Saccharomyces cerevisiae S288C: one gene and its partners. The protein of the gene in region 3 purifies or fractionates together with the protein of the main gene of each other region. This does not show direct contact. Each region holds a gene or a part of one and is shown on either strand. Other genes may lie near its edges.

Region 1 (3,914 bases), on a different chromosome or scaffold from region 3:
GGTAAGTTGTGCTCATTATTACTTCTTTTAGGGTTAGCTTTAGAACTTGAATATGGTACAAATGGTGAATTTTGTGTATGACTGATGGAGTCGTACGTTTGACTTTGACTTTTAATTGGCCGTTGAAGATTTGAATGTGTTTCAGGAATATATTTACTATTGGGTTCGATTTTTTTCAAGACGTGTTGTTGTTTAGTAAAGCTCTGCGGGTTCGAAGAAATTCTGGATTTCGAATTGTCCTTGTTATAACTGTTTTGAGCTTGTTGCTTAGGTGTCGCAACTGGCGTTGTATTTCGTGTCTTTGAATTCGTATTCACATTGTTTCTTGCAGTATTGCCATTGACTCTTGGATTTGGATTTCCGTAACCATGCAAGTTAGCTCTTCTATTAATCTTGATATTCCAGCCTTTACCACCATTCAAATCCATCCAGTCATAGTGTCCATCATCCTTTAAGTCGTTTAATCTCAAAGCGTCATCCATTAACGAGATTAAATAGTCATAATCCGGATCTTCGTCGAACTTCAAGGAACGTGCATATTTTAAATATGTGGCAAACTGATAAGGAATAGCATTATTCAATAAAAGATCATCAGGATTCAATTTCTGTTTAGTCATACCAATCTTTTCATACTTCAGTTTGTTGTTTGGTGCTTTCAAACCTTGCCATGGCAAGGATCCCCTCAAGAAATAAAAAAAAACGTGACCTAGCGATTCTAAATCATCCCTACGTGACTGTTCTCTTCCAAAATGAGTATTAATAGACATATATCTGGCGGTACCGCTCAATGATTTTCGTTCACGGTATGGTATATGTTGTTTCGTTCTTGGATCTCTATATTGTTTTGCCATACCAAAGTCAACCATGTATATTAAATTGGGATCATTATTAGAAGAGGAGGCACATGATTTAATGACTTTTCCTTCAGGTGAAATTCTTTGATATTGAGAAATTAAAAAGTTATCGGGTTTAATATCGCGATAGATTAAGTCGTGATCATGAATTGCTCTAACTCTATCAATCATTTGCTTGGCAACCATACAGGTTGTTTTCACTGAAAATTTTCTACCACACCACTCAAAGAGATCTTCCAATGATGGCCCTAGTAAATCGATAATCAAGATGTTGTGCATACCTTCTTGACCAAAATAATAAGCATGGGGAATTCCAACGCAGCCATTCAATATCCTATAGGCTCTAAATTCGTCACGCAACTGGGGTGCGTCCGAATGTCGCGGTTCGAATTTAATTGCGACTGGCTCGTTCGCCATTATTATACTAGAGTCCCTCTTGCTACCGGTCTGCGCTTGACAAGAATGAAGAATGTTCTCTCCCTCAAATATTACTCCGAAAGACCCTTCGCCAATCTTAGGTCCTACAGCATAATGAATACCTACAATGTGTTGTGAAGATCGTTGGGACATCTTTCCTTATCGTCCTTTTACACTTTTTCTTCAGAATGAGATACCACTTTTGATTAGTGGACCGTAGCACGTATACCCTTAAATAGCAGACAATTCTTGCAAAACGGATTTCCTTCTTTTTTAAAAAACAGCAAATAATACCAGTACCTAGATGTTACGAATGCTGTTCCCCTGTTACTCTCTAAGCTGCCCTTTTCAATTCACCTATAGAATGTTTAAAATTTTACTTTCAATATTGGTATTATCTATGACACAAAAGGAAAAGTAACATCGTTTGGTCATTTTCGACGACACGGTAAAGTTTCGAAAAAAAAAAAAAAAAAAGAAAACAACTATTCTTCGTAAACACGATTTAGCTGGCATTTTATAAAAGGAGATCAAGGCGATAGCAAAGAAAGGGTATTTGTTAAGTACTTGTTGATCCGGTCTTCTTGAGCAATTTAGTATACACATAGCGACAATGAGTAACGATGAAGGAGAAACATTTGCCACGGAACAGACTACTCAACAAGTTTTTCAGAAGCTAGGTAGCAACATGGAAAATCGAGTTTGTTTTGATTGTGGTAACAAGAATCCTACTTGGACTTCGGTACCTTTTGGTGTGATGCTGTGTATTCAATGCTCTGCTGTGCATAGAAACATGGGTGTTCATATCACCTTTGTAAAGTCTTCTACATTAGATAAATGGACAATTAACAATTTAAGAAGGTTTAAGTTGGGTGGGAACCATAAGGCTCGTGATTTTTTCTTAAAGAACAATGGGAAACAGCTACTAAATACAGCAAATGTTGACGCGAAAACAAAATATACGAGCCCTGTTGCTAAGAAATATAAGATACATCTCGACAAGAAGGTTCAAAAGGATATGGAGTTATACCCATCAGAATTAGTCTTGAACGGTCAAGATTCTTCGGACTCACCGTTGGACACCGATTCAGACGCTTCCAGGTCGACTTCCAAAGAAAATAGTGTTGACGATTTTTTCTCTAATTGGCAAAAACCAAGCTCCAATTCCAGTTCTAAACTCAATGTAAATACAGGCTCTCTCGCCCCAAAAAACAACACCACAGGCAGCACACCCAAGACCACTGTCACTAAAACGAGAAGTTCCATCTTAACGGCTAGCAGAAAGAAACCGGTATTAAACTCGCAAGATAAAAAGAAACATTCAATTTTGTCTTCGTCAAGAAAGCCCACTAGACTAACCGCAAAGAAAGTCGACAAATCACAGGCAGAAGACTTGTTTGATCAATTTAAAAAAGAGGCTCAACAAGAAAAGGAGGACGAGTTCACTAATTCGTCTTCTAGCACCAAAATTAGACAAAATGATTACGATTCCCAATTTATGAATAACAGTAAAGGCAACAATAATAACAGTATAGATGATATTAATACCCAGCCTGATGAATTCAATGATTTTTTAAATGACACTTCAAACAGCTTCGACACAACTAGAAAAGAACAGCAAGATACTTTAACACCCAAGTTTGCCAAATTGGGATTTGGTATGACCATGAATGACGCCAATGATTTGGCAAAGCAACAAAAAGAATCTCAGAAAATAGCTCAGGGACCAAGATATACGGGCAGAATCGCGGAAAGGTACGGCACACAAAAAGCTATATCATCTGATCAATTATTTGGTCGTGGCTCATTTGATGAAGCAGCAAACAGGGAAGCGCATGACAAGTTGAAAACATTTGACAATGCTACATCAATTTCCTCTTCTTCATACTTTGGAGAAGATAAAGAAGTGGATGAATTTGGTAATCCCATCAATAGTAGTGGAAGTGGAGCAGGGAATTTTGATGGCCGTAATTCTAATAACGGTTTCATCGATTTTAATGCCTCCGCAGATGATGAATTGCAGATGTTGAGAGACGTTGTAGAACAGGGTGCTGAAAAACTCGGTAGTTATTTAAGGGACTACTTAAGAAAATAAGTTTAATTTTCTCTTTAATTGAATTTTTTTTTTTTCATTGTTATCATTGTTTTTTATTCTCATTTTTCATTATATGATAATTATATTTATGGTACATAGAAACGGTTGTATATGCATTGTACGTGCGTTTATTCTTATTCTTCATCCCCCCTTATCTTAGTTTAAGGTTTCTAAAATCGAAAGTTTCATGTGCGTATGAAGCGGTTGAAAATGCAGACGAGGTAGCATTTGGTTCATTAGCATTATAAACACTTTGCTTTAAAGAAGGTAAGTTATTTTCGACATCTCTGTTTCTAATTGCTTCATCGTCCACATAGGGAGAGTCTATACCCACTTTCCAAAACGAGTTCATTACTTGATTACCATATTCGTTAGAAACACTTGCATTTAAACTATCACTTGCCGCAAGGGCGTAGTAGTGCGCATCCTGTTGCATTTCTTCGCTCTTTTCCTCTGCTGGCCTTGAATTCTTGTCGTGCCAGCGCGATAAGCCCATGTTACTATATTGTCAATATGTGAGTCCCTCGTTCACTATGAGACCTAGCAAA
Region 2 (5,174 bases), on a different chromosome or scaffold from region 3:
TTGAGGCATTATTATATTCAAGCTCTCTTTTCTGAAGATTACTCTCTTTTAACTGTTTCCTTCTAAGCAATTCTTCTTTTTTCAATTTTTTCAAATGACCTTTCAATTCCAATTCATCAGCATCCATCGCTGTCAAACAGTAATGTTGGTAACGGAATACAGTGAAAAGTGTAGTGCGTTCAAGGGTCTGCAGCCTTTTACAATATGCCTGGTCAGACTAGTGCTTTTTTTTTGTTTTTTTTCTTCTTCTTCTTTCATCAATTGCATAATGTCAACTTTTTTCTGCCCTGTTGTCCTGTTTCTTCCATTTCGTTTTCTCTTGTCAAACTATTATAGTATTTTTCTTTAAAAATTTTGTTTATACAAAGATTACATAATTTATTCTTCGTGTGGTGATGATCCGTCATATTCTATCCGTGATTTTTTTGGTTTATTATTGTTCTTGCTGTTCATTCCCTTATTTGCATGCACGCTTGCTAAAGCTGACGCATTTCTTTTAATACTATTGATAACAAAAGAAGGGATTAACTGAAATAAAATTTCACAGCTTACTGCATTAGACCATTCACCAGATCAGAGCATAATAAGCTGTCTTCACCTTTACCATGAACTTTCAAAGCAAGACCTTTCGAACTCTTGATCATCTTAATCTGTAGGGCTACTTTAGATCCAGTTAAAGCACTCTTACCAAATAATTTCAAGGTGTGGGAGTTTGAATCACTTGGAGCAAATTGGGTACTTTCCACCGGTAAGCAGCTACTGTTCAAAATAATCTTATCTACTACTTCTTGTATGGATAAATCTTCTTGAATGTTGAAAACAGCAACTTCTTCGCATGGCAACTCATCAAATGTAGCGGAGAAGTTACCAGTGAAAGAACTCTTAACATAATCACCAGCATTCAAGAAAATCGAGTCAATTTCATATTCATCTTGGAAACCTTCATCACCATCAAATGGCTCATTAGTGTCAGGGTTTATTTCTTTTGTAGTGAATGTTAAGTTGTTCAAGAAACCTTCCATTACAATTTCATCAAGTTTTTTGAATGCAACGTAACAAGCTGCTTCCTCGGATGGTAATAATCTGTCCACTTGTAGGGTGAATAGCTCTTCTAATTCAGCTTCATCAGAAATTTCAGGGGTACAGACTACAGAAACATTGTCTAGGGCAATATCCGTCAGAGTATTCGTAATATTAAATTGTAAAACAACATTGTCTTTGAAGAGATGTTTGACACCACGTACAACGAATTCTGCTTCTGGCTCAGTTAATGAGATAGCCCTAGAACTATTTACTAATTGACCAAATGGTTTAATTTGTTCAATGGATAGCAATTCGTCAGCGTACTTAGTAGCTAGTAGATCTTCTTGGTGGTCGTCCAAGTTTGGACCAGCAAATGAATTAGCGTCAGCTCTTTTTTCTGGAACACTCTCTGCCTCTGGTGTAGTATCCAAAGTGGTTTCAGACTTTTGATTGAAAATTTGTTCTTGCTTTCTCTTCAGATTTATTGCCTTCATTTCATCCTCAGTAAACTTACGAACTTGATTCACATCAAATGCAGTTGCAAATGAATCAGTATTTGAGGAAATGTAAGAACTTAATTTTGACTCTAATGATGGAATATCGTAAAAATATTTGGATTCGATTAGATTTTGTGCTATAACATCATCTTTATTCCTAGCCGAATCAATGAATTCTAGTGCAATGGTGGCTCTGTCTCTGACTTCATCGTCTTTATCATTAGCGATTCTCTTTAACAAACTTATGATTGACTCATATAAGGTAGGATCGTTCTTCGTCAAAGCAAACTTAGATAAAGCTACAACGGCAGCAGATCTAATAATAGAATTTTCCAACACCACTCTGTTATAAATATGTCTAACATATAATGATGGATTTGGGGCAGATGGACCTTCTTTACCCAAAAGATGTAGTATTCTCACTAGTATTTCGTTGAATTCACAATCCTCGATGAAATCACACAAGTTTTCTAAGGCGAGTTCTTTAGACTGTGGAACAAATGAAACAATATCGATTAATGCTTCGACAATACTGTTTTTAAATTTGAATCCACCTTCACTATTTTTCAAAACATCGATTAAGAAGTTCAAAATTGACTTCCATTCCTGTGGGAAGTTCAAAGACAACGTACGAACGGCGTCAATAATAATGATCTTAAAGTCATCACTGACATCATGGATAAAATTAGTAATAGTCGAAATCAGAGATGAAATATTTTTGGAAGTTCCTGTCTTCAATAAAGTGGTGATTGCATAAGTAGAAATGTTTCTATTAGAATCATTAATTAAAGATTCTAGTTCAGGATTACAAACAACAATCTTTTCTGGTGAAACCATGGATATTCTATTTAAGATTCTCAATGCAGCGAATCTAGAAGAAACACGAGGAACGGTCAGTAAGGACTGTAAAGCACTGATAGCTGCCGCATATAACTCGGGAGCCACTAAGCGGGAATTGCGAGTAGCGAAAGAAGTAATCAATTTCGCCGTTTCCAACTGAACAGATTCGAACTTGTTGGATAGCCAATCAGACAAAAGTGGCCTGAATTGACTAAATAATTGAGGATCCCTATAAATCAAATCGTTGACAATCTTGACCAATTCTACCTTGGCCAATTGATTTTTCATAGAATTGTTTTCAGAGAAATGTCTAACCAATTTTAGTAACGCCATTTTATCAGTTTTCTTCAGTTGATAAAGCAACCCAAGAGCATGATATTGAGAAATATAAGTGGAGTTTGGATAATATTCGCTATTACCGTGTTGATTTGGAAATTGTTTCAAATCCAAAACAGCTTCTTGAGTTTCATTGGTGAATCTTCTGATAGTGACTTCTGAAATGGGCAGCAAATGATAAGAAGTACATAATGCTGCTGAGGATATTGAAGGATGTCTACTTACCACGGCACTTTTTAATAACCTTTCAGCGGAAAAAGCAGTAGATTCATCCAAGACATAAGTCAGCGATCTAATAGCGTCAGGCTTAATCAAATCGGAACCGTTTTGAACGTCCTTCATGATTGAAGAGGTTGCCATCAACACATCCTCCGAAATGCCACTCAATTCCTTGATTGCCAAATAAACAGCCTGCCTTAAAGGATCGTTCTGGTGTTGAAATAATTTGGAGATAGAGAAAAATAATGCAGTTGCTTCATTCTGTGGGAAGGTTTCGCCCTGGGCCAAGAGTCTCAGCAAGCGAGAAATCAATAAACGACATCTCTTGGAATTGACAGGTGATTCGTTAAACGTGTTCATACAATCCTGATAAATGGTCATTTTATCAGGTAAATCGCCCGAGGTCGAGTTTTCAAACTTTTTGTAAGTATGTGCAGACATGTTGATTCGCTCTGTGATTTAGTATCGCTTCTTGGCTTTTGTCCTATCCGTATTTGTTTAGTTATTTTGTATTATACGTCGTTCTGTAATGTTTGCGGGCTCACCTGGATGAAGCTAAGAACAAAAAAACGGGTTTAGCAGAATAACTGAAGAAGTACGTTGGTAATGAGCACACACAATTCCTCCCTTGCACTTATTTGTAAAGAATTGTGTTCTCAACAATGCAACTCGTATCCAAAAAAACGCCTATGTATATTTCATTGATCTTGACGAAACCTTTAGATTTCGAAAAAAATAGAATCGTGGTTCGTGGCGTCGTAGTGAATGACACAAGGGGTACATTCCGGGTGATAGGATGAAAAATGGGTAATAGTAATAGTACAGAAGAACCTTCTGGCACTTAACTTAAACCATTCTGAAATATGAGTGGACTTTATACATTTCATGCATATAAATATAACTATACAAAATTAGGAGAGGTGAGGAAGTGAAACTAAAACAAAAAGGCAAGGTTAAAACAATACAGGAAAATAGAAAGAGAAAAACAGTAATATATCTATGGGGATGCATCATGAGGTTTCTTCGTTTAATGTCAGTAGCAATTGTGCCAGACATCTCTTGGACCCGACGTCGTCTCTTAGTACTTCCGTAAAAGTGTTATCTCTCAGTTTGGCAGGTAAGACTATTTTCAATAGCCTGCGTGCTTCGAGATCGTCGCTTAATCTTAAGTAGCATCTAATGATATGTTTCAGTAGTCGTCCCGGTGGTGTGCTCACGGTCAAGTGCTCAACCATATCTTTTAAGACATTAGTTACGGCGTAGAACCTTTCCAAGGTGGCACAGATGTATTGCAATCCAACGTCATCTAGTAGGATTTTCTGTAAAATGAAAATGGCGACTGTCTTGGAAAGCTCAGAAGAAGATTCCATGATCCTTAGGCATAACGGCACGATATCGGTTCTTAGCAAAAACGTTATTACGTCTTGTGAGTCATTTTTGACCAATGCGCCTATCACACCTAATGAAGTCAATCTCAAGTACTCAAAAGTTCTTTGCCTGGAGGTAGTATTTAGGAAGGGGAAAAGAAAGAGAGGAATATGGGCCTGTAAAAAGAGATGTTTTGTCTCTGGGTGAGATGCAACACACTGTAGAAGAACTAGAGCGTTGCATACACGATTTGATAGATTGTTAGAGAGCATCTGAGGTTGCAGCATGGGATATACGGAAATGATTTCGTTCAGCAATGAGGTCATTACACCAAAGGAAGACCAAAGCACAACGGCAAGGTCATCAAACTGTTCTCTTTTGCGACCTAATTCAAGCAGTGCTTGTTCCTTTTGAGGGCCGTAGGTCAATTGACAAATCCAGTGGTATACATTGGGATCATCTAGAGCATGCACTGCGCCTCTATTATTGACCATGTTGGGATTGTTTCGAGTTGCGTTAGCATCGTTACCGCCGTTATTGCCGTTATTGCCGTTGTTCTCGCCATTTTCATTGCTATTATTATTATTCGGAGTATTGCCCATTAGCATGGGGCCTCCACTTGGAATTTGTTGATTCATGCCTGGACCCATTGAAGTTGGAACCCCAGGCATGGACATAGATCCTGGATTATTAGTTGAAGGACCACCACCACCCATGTTCACGCCTGCTCCATTGCCATATATTGGCTTTTGAGCGGAAAACATATTAACTTATTCAGAGGATGTTCAGTTGCTGTCGTTGTTGCTTCAGGAACAAAGTTTAATCTCGTCAAGATCAGCAGAAACACACACACTCGCAAATTTGTCAAAACTTGGGAGTTTTAAAAGATGA
Region 3 (4,984 bases):
CCTGGCCCCAAACAACCGGTTTTTGGAACAACATTACTAATCAAGCTTATTTTAGGATGGCTAATACATCTGGTGTCAGTATAAGAGACCATTACCAATCTATTGATTTATGTGACGCAGCCTTAGTTACGGCTATAGATTTATTACGGCCATTAGGTTCGTTTGTTTGTAAACTATACACCGGCGAAGAAGAAAACCTATTTAAAAAAAGAATGCAGGCAGTTTTCACTAACGTTCATAAGTTCAAGCCTGACGCTTCTAGAGACGAATCAAAGGAGACCTATTATATCGGATTAAAGAAGAAAAGAAATGTAGATAAACTGGACGTGTTTAGTAATTCATAATATGATTTGTTTGCGCGCAAAGTTTCAAGTCACGTTCATTTTCACACCTATCGCAATAAAAATAAAAAGTGTACATCTGTATATATATATGTTTACCATCCATTAAAGATGTTTTCTCATTCGTTGATTAGTTCTTTATTTGTCTTTCTATGAGGTGGTTAACTCTCTTCTTCCACAGGCTCCGGCACTGCCTCTCCTTGCTCCGGCTGTTGTTCTGATTGTTGTTGCTGGGGAGCTTCCTCTTCTTTTTTTTCGGCTTCAACTGCCTCTGAGTTGGATTCTTTAAACTCGCTGTCCTCAACTTCAGCTTCTTTGTTTTCGTCAGCTTGTTCTGGGGCTGGAGTGGAATCTAAGTCAATGAGTGGTTGGGCATCTCCTGAACTCGAAGAGCCTGGTAAACCTTCGGCCCCACAAACTCTTTCTGATACAGTATTCTTACCGTTGAGTATCAAATTTTCCTTCCATTTTGTAACAATATCGTTGACTGCATCATCTCCTAAACCGTATGTTGATCCAAGGAAAGCGGCTTCGGAAAACCTTTGAGACTTGATTAAAAGATCTTTAGCGCCTTGTATATCGCCAGCGATCCAATATGCATTAAAAGCCAAATTGAATTTACCGGCCCTTTCAGCATCTTTAGCTAAAGTGACCAACCCCTCCTTGTTATTAAAAGATGAGTGCAATAGAAATAAAGATTCTAGATCATGTGCATTTGTGAAAGCTTCAACAGCAAGTTTAAAATTGAACCTTTGTAAGGAAGCATCACCCAAGGCTCTCCATTTCATTTCGGCGCTTTCATCTGTCAACAAATCGCGAGCAAGCGTAAGTTGGCCGACTTTTAAGGCTAGCTCAAATTTTTGATCTTGATCAGGGGAAATATTCAGTGCTTCTTCATAATACTCTTGACCTTCCAGAAATCTAGCAATTTTTGTTAAAGAGTCCTTACCCTCAACATTTGGGAGTACATTTTCAATGGCTTCTTCAATTTCCCCTCTTAAAGTCAATGTTTGGAACTCCAGCACCTCTAGAGATATTTCGTAACCATAAACATGGACCTCTCTGTCAGCTAAATATACTTTATTATCACGTGCTAGATAGCCCAATAGATACATTTCCTTTGTGTAATGGGCTAAATTATAAGTCTTTCCACCTACGAAGTAGTTCAGCCTGTTAGTTGCTGTGGTAAAGATAAAGACATCACCAACCCATTTGCCTGATGTAATGGATTCACTTAGTTCATACAATACGTCAAAAGCCTCATCAACACCTTCTGAATCGTCGATATTGCCATTATTTGCTGCTTCAAGGTAAGCATCCTTGTTGAATAATAATGTGTAACCACTTGCTTCATCACCATTACTATTGGTGTTGACAATCATCACCAGCTCACCGTTATCGGACCAAATGACATCCTTAGCATTAACATCAATTCTTCTAACTAGCGTACCGTTGTCCCAATCGAAGAAATAGACGAAGCCATCAGACTTCACACCCAACAAGGCACCTGAAAATAATCTATCAATAGCAGAATGCATTGGGACAGACCATGATGTGACTTCTTTAAAGTTTTTGTAGTATTTAATTTGCCCAGTTTCATCAATTAAAGCATAACTATTGGAGTCGGGGCCCCAAACAAAGTCTTGACATTTACCGAAGGCTTTGTTTCTCCAAGCCAACGCCGTATAAATAACGTATTCACCATCCCCAACAACTGTAACAAACCTACCATTTGGAGAATGGGCTAAAGATTGAGGGAAAACATCAACGGAACCCAGCTCCTTAGTTTGTAAAGATAATGGTTCATCTTGTTCAACTTCTTCGTTACCTCTTATGACGGCAGTGAAAATGTCTGAAGCTGCGGCATTTTTGCCACCTGACCATACTAGCTTACCGACAGGGTCAAGTGATAAAGTTGGTTCATCATTTCCCAAGGAAAGTACGGTAAACCCATTATCAAACCCGGATGCAATGTAGTTTTTACGTCCTGTTGGATGGGTAGCGATACACCAACTTCTTTCTAAACCAACGTTTAAAGTCTTTTCTACCTTGTAAGTGGAAGAATTCCATATCTTTAAAGTGCCATCTTCGGAACCAGAAATTATAATGGGTAAAGTTGGATGGAAAACAGCAAAAGAAACATTGGACATGTGACCTTCTAGAGTGGCTACACATGACTTCGTTTGGTAATCCCAAATTTTGATGGTTAAGTCGTCCGACGCAGTAATCATATAAGGCTTGTCAGGTAGCGGGTAATAATCAACATAATTCACACCTCTTTCTTGTCCTGTGGTTAACGTGAAATTTGGTGTCGATTGTCCCAATGACCAAACTTTAACGGTTCGGTCCAAACACCCAGATGCAAACGTACTAGGATCCTTTGGATTGAATGCGACGCACATGACAAAGTGTTCGTGACCTTCAAAAGTTTGTTCTAAGGCCCAGTTATTTTCCCAATTCCATAGTTTGACTGTCAAATCATCACTGCCGGATAAAACATAAGGCTTTGTTGGATGTACAGCAATGGAACGGATATAGTCTGGATGAGCTTCGAAATCAACAACTTTTTCACCTGTATTGTAGTTGAAGACTCTGATCCTGAAATCATCACTCCCAACAATTATCCAATTCTTTCTTGCAATGAATTTACCTGCTCTAACAGGAGTTTCCGTAACTTGGATGGATCTAACTTCAACTTGTGTTTCGTAATTCCAAAGCTCAACACGACCAGAGTACAAGGTAGTCAAAACCCATGGCTCAGTAGGATGGAAATCGATACCTTTAACTCGATCGGATCTATTACTAAAAGTTTTCTATCATAAATGTACAGTGTCAAATAAAGGAAATGCCAAGAGCAAATGCATTTATTTCAAAAATCTTCCTGTTAGTAACTAATCTTAATGTTTGCTTTTTGCAGGCTTTGTATTCTTCGCGAACGAGATCATTTCCTAATCATAGGAGTTGTCGGAGCTTGTTCGCAATTGCATTGGCAAAACGCGCTCTGGTAACATACCTTTATATCCAACTTCATCGTGTCCGTATAATTGTTTCGATTGGGTGTCTTAATTCACCATTACAAGCTACCATTTATTGCAGCTTTCTGTTATTTACTCCCAAATCTTACACGACATGTTCCTAATGCCAGCTCGATTCATTCATGAAAAAAAGACAGTTTATTACCCGCTCATTCGTCAGACGCGATTAAAATTTGACGCCGCGTCACAAAATAATCAATTTGATAATAATATATTTGATATTATTGTCCATATTCAATAATTAGTAATGTGGATCTAATGATTTTTATACAGCTCAATACAAAGCAACAAAACTAAAAATAGATTATAATATCCAAAGTGCTCCTCGGATGAATGTACAACTTTTTAGAATTTTTCTTCTTTTTTATAACGTACACCTTATTTAAGAGCACTTTCGTTCAAGGAAAAAGTTCATTTCCTGGACATGATGTGTGTAAGTTCGAAGACCAAAATTTCCAGACAGAGTTCTTCTTAAATGTTCTTAAAGGTGACAAGTTACAGAACTTGAAGCAGGAGTACGAACAATACAAAAAACAAAGTACTTTGTACACAGGCTTTGTAATTGAAAAACAATATGAATACCAGGTAGCGCCCTTGCAAATCAATAATTTTCTTCAAGTGACCTTTTGTAAAGGAGGAAAGCCAATTTGGAATCATATTCTACCCTTTCAAAAGGATTTAGATTGGGCAGAACCACTATGCATTCCAGCCCAGGAGGATGATACTATCTCCCAAAACAGCTCAGTATGTTTCAAGTTTGCAAGGGTGCAGAAATATACACAGCGTAATGTAACCCTTTACTTTCCTAATAAATTTGTTGGATTCGTATTTGTTTGCAATTCTTCAAAGACGCATCCCCCCACTCAGAACAATTTTGAAACTATTCCATTAACGCCTATTATTTCTGATGATATTAGAGATTACAAAATATCTTGGTCAATTAAAGGAAGAATCACCAAGGTGGTACCTTATCTACATTCGTTAAGTATTCCTATGTCCAAATATGAGATGCTCATCCATTCAGATAAGAACATATCAAACGAATTGGAATATAAATCCTTAACTTCGGAGTTTTGGAAGAGCTATAAAAACTTAAGAAAGTTTAAAAACAAAGAAATGTCTTGGATAAACGAAATAAATCCTATGGAGCAATATGATAGCTCTGGGAATGAAAATGTCCCGAATTTTCATGAAAAACTAGACCGTACAATAAATCGGATTGCGCAAAACATAGAAAGGCCTCATGATGCACTAATAAGAGCGATAGCCGCACATAATAGAAACTCTAATAGTGGAAATATTACAAGAAGGAAATATTTGAGGAGGAAGATCTCAAAGATGTTAAAAAATAAGATACCTCTTAAGAACTGAACAACTTACACATTCCTATTCATGAAAAAACATAATTTTATAATAAATTGTTTGTTTGATTCGATTAGTTTATTTAACTTGATTAATTTAAGTATTTATTTTTTTTTAATTTGTTGTTACACGAGGAGTATTAAAAATATGACAAACTGGGATATTACAACATAGAAACAAAGATAACAAAAGCTATCTATTTTAAAAAAATTCATATTAAGCAAACTGGTACAAAGTGTTTTAACG
Region 4 (5,208 bases), on a different chromosome or scaffold from region 3:
CTCATGGCCTAAAACTTTTGGTATGCACATAAATATAAACACCTCAGCTCAATTAGATTACCAGGCGAGAACTTTGTTGAGTGGGTTCCAGTTCCCATTTTTCGGAGAGGAGAAATAAGAATACAATCTCATGGTCCTGGCCAGTTAGCCATGCTCTATGGCAGAAAGGCAAAGGGCATATATAATTTCCCATTCGTCATGTAAATATATAAACTGTACAAGATACTATCTCTCTCCATTTTTCAATCATATAGTTCTCTTTGGGGCACTGAGATGTCTACAAATTGTTATAAAATTGGACGTCTCTTACACAACTCACAACTCAACTCTGTATAAAGATTTTTAGGAAAGAAAATGTACATAAAAGTGAATACTTGTTTAAAAATGAGAACAAAGATTCCTACGCAATTAAAATCTATTTAAAGATTTTCCTTATTTTTTTATTTCTTTTCGAATTTTTTAAGTTTTATTCTTATCTCCTTTGACATTATAACTTACATTGCATCAGCTCAGGGTGGTTCAAACATGAGTGAGAGCAAGTTTATTGGTCTTCTTAGCAATCAATGCCACTCTGTCACCTAGGGACAGAGCCAAACCTTGTCCCTTTGATCGGATACGAACATAACCTATGACATCATTGGTTTTGGAATCCTTTTCGATACACAAGTTGGCTAGGGCATCTTCACCAAAGGACGACTTCGCATACAGATTACAACTTAAGAACCTACAATCATCTTCTCCCAACGACTCTGATGGTGTTAGAATACCCATATTAGTTCCCTTGACCAGTTCTCTCAAATAAGCATGCAATGTTGGTAGTTGTGATTTGACCGATATTTTGTTCTCCCACTCAAATGCATTCCACATGGTACGGAAATGTTCATCGTCAGCAGTGGCTGGTTTGATATAATCCATAATGTCAACATGAACGTCGTTTAAAATAACATAACGAGCATCTTCACCATGCGCACCATCATAAATAATATTACCGAAAATGACACCTGTGTCAGCAGAGGAAACTTTGACAGTAACAGTGAATTTGTGGAAGCCATGAGGAATCACGTTGGTCTTCTGTGGTGTGTCAATAATCTTCAAATCACCAAGAGTTGCAAATTGCACATGTAGGTTTTTCAATGTTTCTTTCGTTTGATTAACAAGAAGAACATCTAATACGACGTCAAATTGATTGTTTGTAATACAAGCCTCGGCGTAAACTGGATCAGAAAAGCCACATAAAGGTACTATCTTCTTCAGCTTCGAAATACTAGAGCTGCTAGTAGCGTGGATTGCATCTCCTTTCATTGCCAGTTGTAAATCTTCTTCAATACTATCTTTTTGCACATTAGTAGAATCCACACCAGCAAATTGCCTGAAAGAAATCGGCGTATCAATTGGTTCGATGTTTTTGCAACTGTCTTTTAATGCTCTCTTATGCTTGTTCTTCTTTGCAATTTCAATTTGTCTCTTGAATGAGGATTTGGTGGTGTCCAGGAATGCAACCTCCAGAAGTTTAACTTCTTCCTTCTTTTCCTCAGGATTAACTTCATCCAATAAAATAGAAATAGATGTCATAACTCTCTCTAAAGAATCTTCATCAATTTTTTTCTCCACCAAAGAGCTTTGACCCACTCTTACAATACTAACTAAAATTAGTAAAGCTTCCGCCTTTAGAGCATTGATGACAGTTTTGTTCTTGGAAACGTTTTCGAATTTTAAAACAAGTTTAATGATGGTGTTGGCCAGAATGGCAGCTGTGTAGAAATCACCACTTAAAACAAACCGGCGAATTGGAGGTCTAGAATCACGTTCTTCATCGGTAACTGACTTTTGAGAAGTCTTCACATCGAAAGCGCTTTCAGTGGCATACGTACCGTCTGGTAGAATAACTGGACCAGTTGGCTTGGCGGTAGCGTCAACCTCATTTTCTTCGGTGTGTTCTTGGTTTTGTGTTAACTTTTTGATTTCTGATTGAAGGATAGGAACTTCACCTACGCTGTTACGAATGTGCTTCCAACAATGTTGTATCTCACTTTCTCCTTCAGCATACTCACCCATAATCCATAATGCACCGCGGTAAGCTTTAGCAGATCTCACTTTGTCTAGCGTTTGAACCATGTTTTCAAGGATATTGGCTCTAAGTTGTGGGTATTTTTCGATCACTTCTTTGATAAAGGCAATGATACCACTGGCGGCAACCGAGTTTAAATCACCGATGAAATCTAATAATAGCGAAACAACACTTGCTGCCATTTCTACAAAGTTTACAGCCACGGTACGAATAGTTTTTATTAACAATTGTCTGTACTGCATTGCCTTGTCTTGATCTGGGTTATTTACGGTTGTTTGCAGCTCTTTCTTCAAAAGCTGAACAACATCTTCAGCATTTCTGGATGTGGCCAAGTCCATTGAAATATCAAGCGCCTTTGAACGAACGTCTAAATCTTCTGCATTCAAGACTCTCAAAATATCCAGGGTTAACTCTTCCAAAGCACCTACGTTATTAGCATTGATGTCTTGAATACGGTCTAGAACAATTAACTTAATGTTATTATCAGAAACCTTGACGGCCAAGTCAATCAATTTGTTAACCGCAGGAACCAAGACATTTGGATTGGCAGACAACACAGTTAGGGCTAATGCGGTCTCGAAGATGACTTCATCGGAAGTCGTGGTCGAAAGCAGTTCCATCAATAATTCGATATATTGGGCTTTCAAAGCAGGGGTCCTGTTTGCATCTTGTCTGATAAATTGAACAAAGACAGCTTGTAATAAAGGGTCTAGGTTTTCTATATCAGCAATATTGTTCTCTAAATAGTGTAAGGCATTTTCACGATCTAATTCAGCTAACCCAATAAATGCATTTCTTTTACATATTGGATCAGTTTCAGCTACTATGAACGAATTGATGATTTCTTTAGCATCGGGAAGTAAATGTTCGCTGACCTTGAAAATGGAGAAAACTGCTAGGATTGCATACTTACGAACATATGCATGACGGTATTCCAAGCACGCTAAGACAGAGGGAACCATCTGTTCTAAGAGTTCGGCCTCTCTCAATTTCGTTAAAAACCTTAATGTGTTACCTCTAATATATTCATTAGGATGTTGCAAATCGTGTTGAATGGCATTACAGACAAGAATCATTTCATGTCTCAATTTTCCATCTTCAGCTAGTTTGGGAACAATTTCCCAGTAGAAGTACAAAAGCTTTTTTAATTCCTTATTTTTAGAAGGCATGACAAATCTTATTATGTGCATCAACAATTCAGGCATTGGATTTCCTTCCAGCATTGTAACTAAAATTGATTTCATCGTGTCAATTTTTTGTTCATCAGATCCCTTTTCAAGAGCTTTCTGAAAATCGGTACTCGAGTAAGTCTCCATACTCGGAGAAGGATCGAAAACCAACGTGTACGCTGGCTGTGAAGAAAGTGAAGTCATAGGTGCACTCTTGTTCAATAGTTAACTGTGATTACTTTTGTTTATTCTCAAGGCAATCTTAACTGAGTCTTAATGAACGTCAAATTTCACTTGTCGAGCTGTTGTTTTCTGATTTCTTTCTACGTGTAGCGAGTACACGGAAAGAAAAAAAAAACGAAGTGATAAGCTGGGTAATACTTTTCTAAAATGCTGTTCCATAAACGTACATATATGACATCTACAAAACTACAGAGAAGGATATCATTCTGGGTCTGAATCAGGGTTTGCCACACGCAAGCCATGCCCCAGAGAATAGCTGAGGTCTACCACATCAGAGTTCGTTGTGGAGACAGAGTCCTGACGCGATATATTACTTCTAGCATTAGCATCACGATAATCTTGAAGAGAGATATGTGTAGGAAGCTTTTGTCTGTTCACGTAATCATTATCCAGTGTTCCACTTCTCATTCTGTTCTGAGACCTTGTGTAGTAGCTGACTACCGTGTTAGATCTTGACACGGAATCAACAGAACCGTTTTGCCCTCTTTTTTCTCGTAAAGGCGCCATTATATCATCACTGTTATATGCTTCATCACCGGGTATGTCCTTGAGGTAGTCTTCGGCTTGTTCTGCGTCAGTGCCTTCTTTTTTTGAAATAGAGCCAGTTTCATTTTCCTTCCCTAACAATTTATGGAATTCCTTTGTGTGGTCAACATTGATTTTATTTTTCAGCCCTGTAGCGGTTCCATCTGATTCTTCATTTCTTGTCTCCAACGCCAGTAATTTCTGTTTAACTTTACCATGCTTGATACCAATTTGCTTAGAACTTGTCCTCAACTTGACCTTAATATTCTTGGGTTGAATCAAATTATTTTTTTGTTTTAGAGCAACCGGCAAGTTAGGAGGCGCTTGTAAAAAGTTAGAAGTCTTGTAATACTTTAGTCGCAGTTCTTCTACGTAACTAGAAACCAAAGGCACGGACTTTTCCGATTTGTTCGATACGACAGATGTTAACGGTGAACATTTGACAGATCTTTCGCTTGGGGCATCATGTACCGGATTTGGTAAATCCACCGTTGCAGGGATAGTAACTGTGTGTTCATTGAACGAGTGAGCAGCCGGCACTAAACTTTCTGAAATGGAGTTTAAACTGTTTAACTCGGATGTTTTATTTGATGATTTTGTGTTTCCGTTTGAGTCAAGAGCAGCCAAAACAGTTGATTTAGAGCCTTTTGATATAGAAAGTCCTGACTGGCTAGAGAAGTTTGACTTGGCATCATACTCACCAGATGATGCAGTGTCAAAAGAATGCTTGTCGGTTAGACTGCCCGTATCGTTTACACTATTTAAATAGAAACTAGGGCGATCTTCATTAACCACCCTAAATATTCTACGATGACTTGGTAACTCAGGCTCTTGTGTTGAGACGTCATTTTTTATAGATGAGCCTTGATCACTTGCGTAATTTATAAATGCTTTACTTTCACTATCCACAAAACCTTTTTCCTGAAGACCATCATCATCATCCTCGTTGGAAGAACCGCTATCAATCTCATTAGTTATCCGCAGAGGCTTTCTGGCGCTTGCAATACTTCCATCACTCCCAAGGTGCTCATTTGATTTATATGCAAAATCAAAATGTGCAGCTTTAAAACCACTAGATTCGTCTTTAGAAACTTGCTGAAGGCTTTTGGTGGATTTACCACTAGCCGATGTACTAAAGGAAAATTTATCATCCCCATCATCCAGATTCGAAGAAAATTCTTTTAGATGATCTGATTGTACTAA

The links.
Region 1: the proteins of SEC27 (region 3) and GLO3 purify together in Saccharomyces cerevisiae (affinity purification with mass spectrometry; 4 studies listed by BioGRID, with this or other methods). This does not show direct contact.
Region 2: the proteins of SEC27 (region 3) and SEC21 purify together in Saccharomyces cerevisiae (affinity purification with mass spectrometry; 6 studies listed by BioGRID). This does not show direct contact.
Region 4: the proteins of SEC27 (region 3) and SEC26 purify together in Saccharomyces cerevisiae (affinity purification with mass spectrometry; 6 studies listed by BioGRID). This does not show direct contact.

Annotation. Positions count from the first base shown.
Region 1 is NC_001137.3:402,323-406,236, reverse strand, and holds GLO3 (ADP-ribosylation factor GTPase-activating protein), read left to right. Parts: upstream 1-1,884; coding exon 1,885-3,366; downstream 3,367-3,914. Other genes in the region: casein kinase YCK3, read right to left, coding at 1-1,424; YER121W (uncharacterized protein), read right to left, coding at 3,518-3,862. UniProt on the Saccharomyces cerevisiae protein: GTPase-activating protein for the ADP ribosylation factor (ARF) family. Involved in retrograde vesicular transport from the Golgi to the endoplasmic reticulum.
Region 2 is NC_001146.8:90,176-95,349, reverse strand, and holds SEC21 (coatomer subunit gamma), read right to left. Parts: upstream 3,357-5,174; coding exon 549-3,356; downstream 1-548. Other genes in the region: U2 snRNP complex subunit CUS2, read right to left, coding at 1-127; CCR4-NOT core subunit CAF40, read right to left, coding at 3,926-5,047. UniProt on the Saccharomyces cerevisiae protein: The coatomer is a cytosolic protein complex that binds to dilysine motifs and reversibly associates with Golgi non-clathrin-coated vesicles, which further mediate biosynthetic protein transport from the ER, via the Golgi up to the trans Golgi network.
Region 3 is NC_001139.9:248,257-253,240, reverse strand, and holds SEC27 (coatomer subunit beta'), read right to left. Parts: upstream 3,373-4,984; coding exon 3,355-3,372; intron 3,155-3,354; coding exon 503-3,154; downstream 1-502. Other genes in the region: MRM2 (21S rRNA (uridine2791-2'-O) methyltransferase), read left to right, coding at 1-344; YGL138C (uncharacterized protein), read left to right, coding at 3,710-4,747. UniProt on the Saccharomyces cerevisiae protein: The coatomer is a cytosolic protein complex that binds to dilysine motifs and reversibly associates with Golgi non-clathrin-coated vesicles, which further mediate biosynthetic protein transport from the ER, via the Golgi up to the trans Golgi network.
Region 4 is NC_001136.10:937,376-942,583, forward strand, and holds SEC26 (coatomer subunit beta), read right to left. Parts: upstream 3,442-5,208; coding exon 520-3,441; downstream 1-519. Other genes in the region: mitochondrial 54S ribosomal protein uL5m MRPL7, read left to right, coding at 1-118; YDR239C (uncharacterized protein), read right to left, coding at 3,682-5,208. UniProt on the Saccharomyces cerevisiae protein: The coatomer is a cytosolic protein complex that binds to dilysine motifs and reversibly associates with Golgi non-clathrin-coated vesicles, which further mediate biosynthetic protein transport from the ER, via the Golgi up to the trans Golgi network.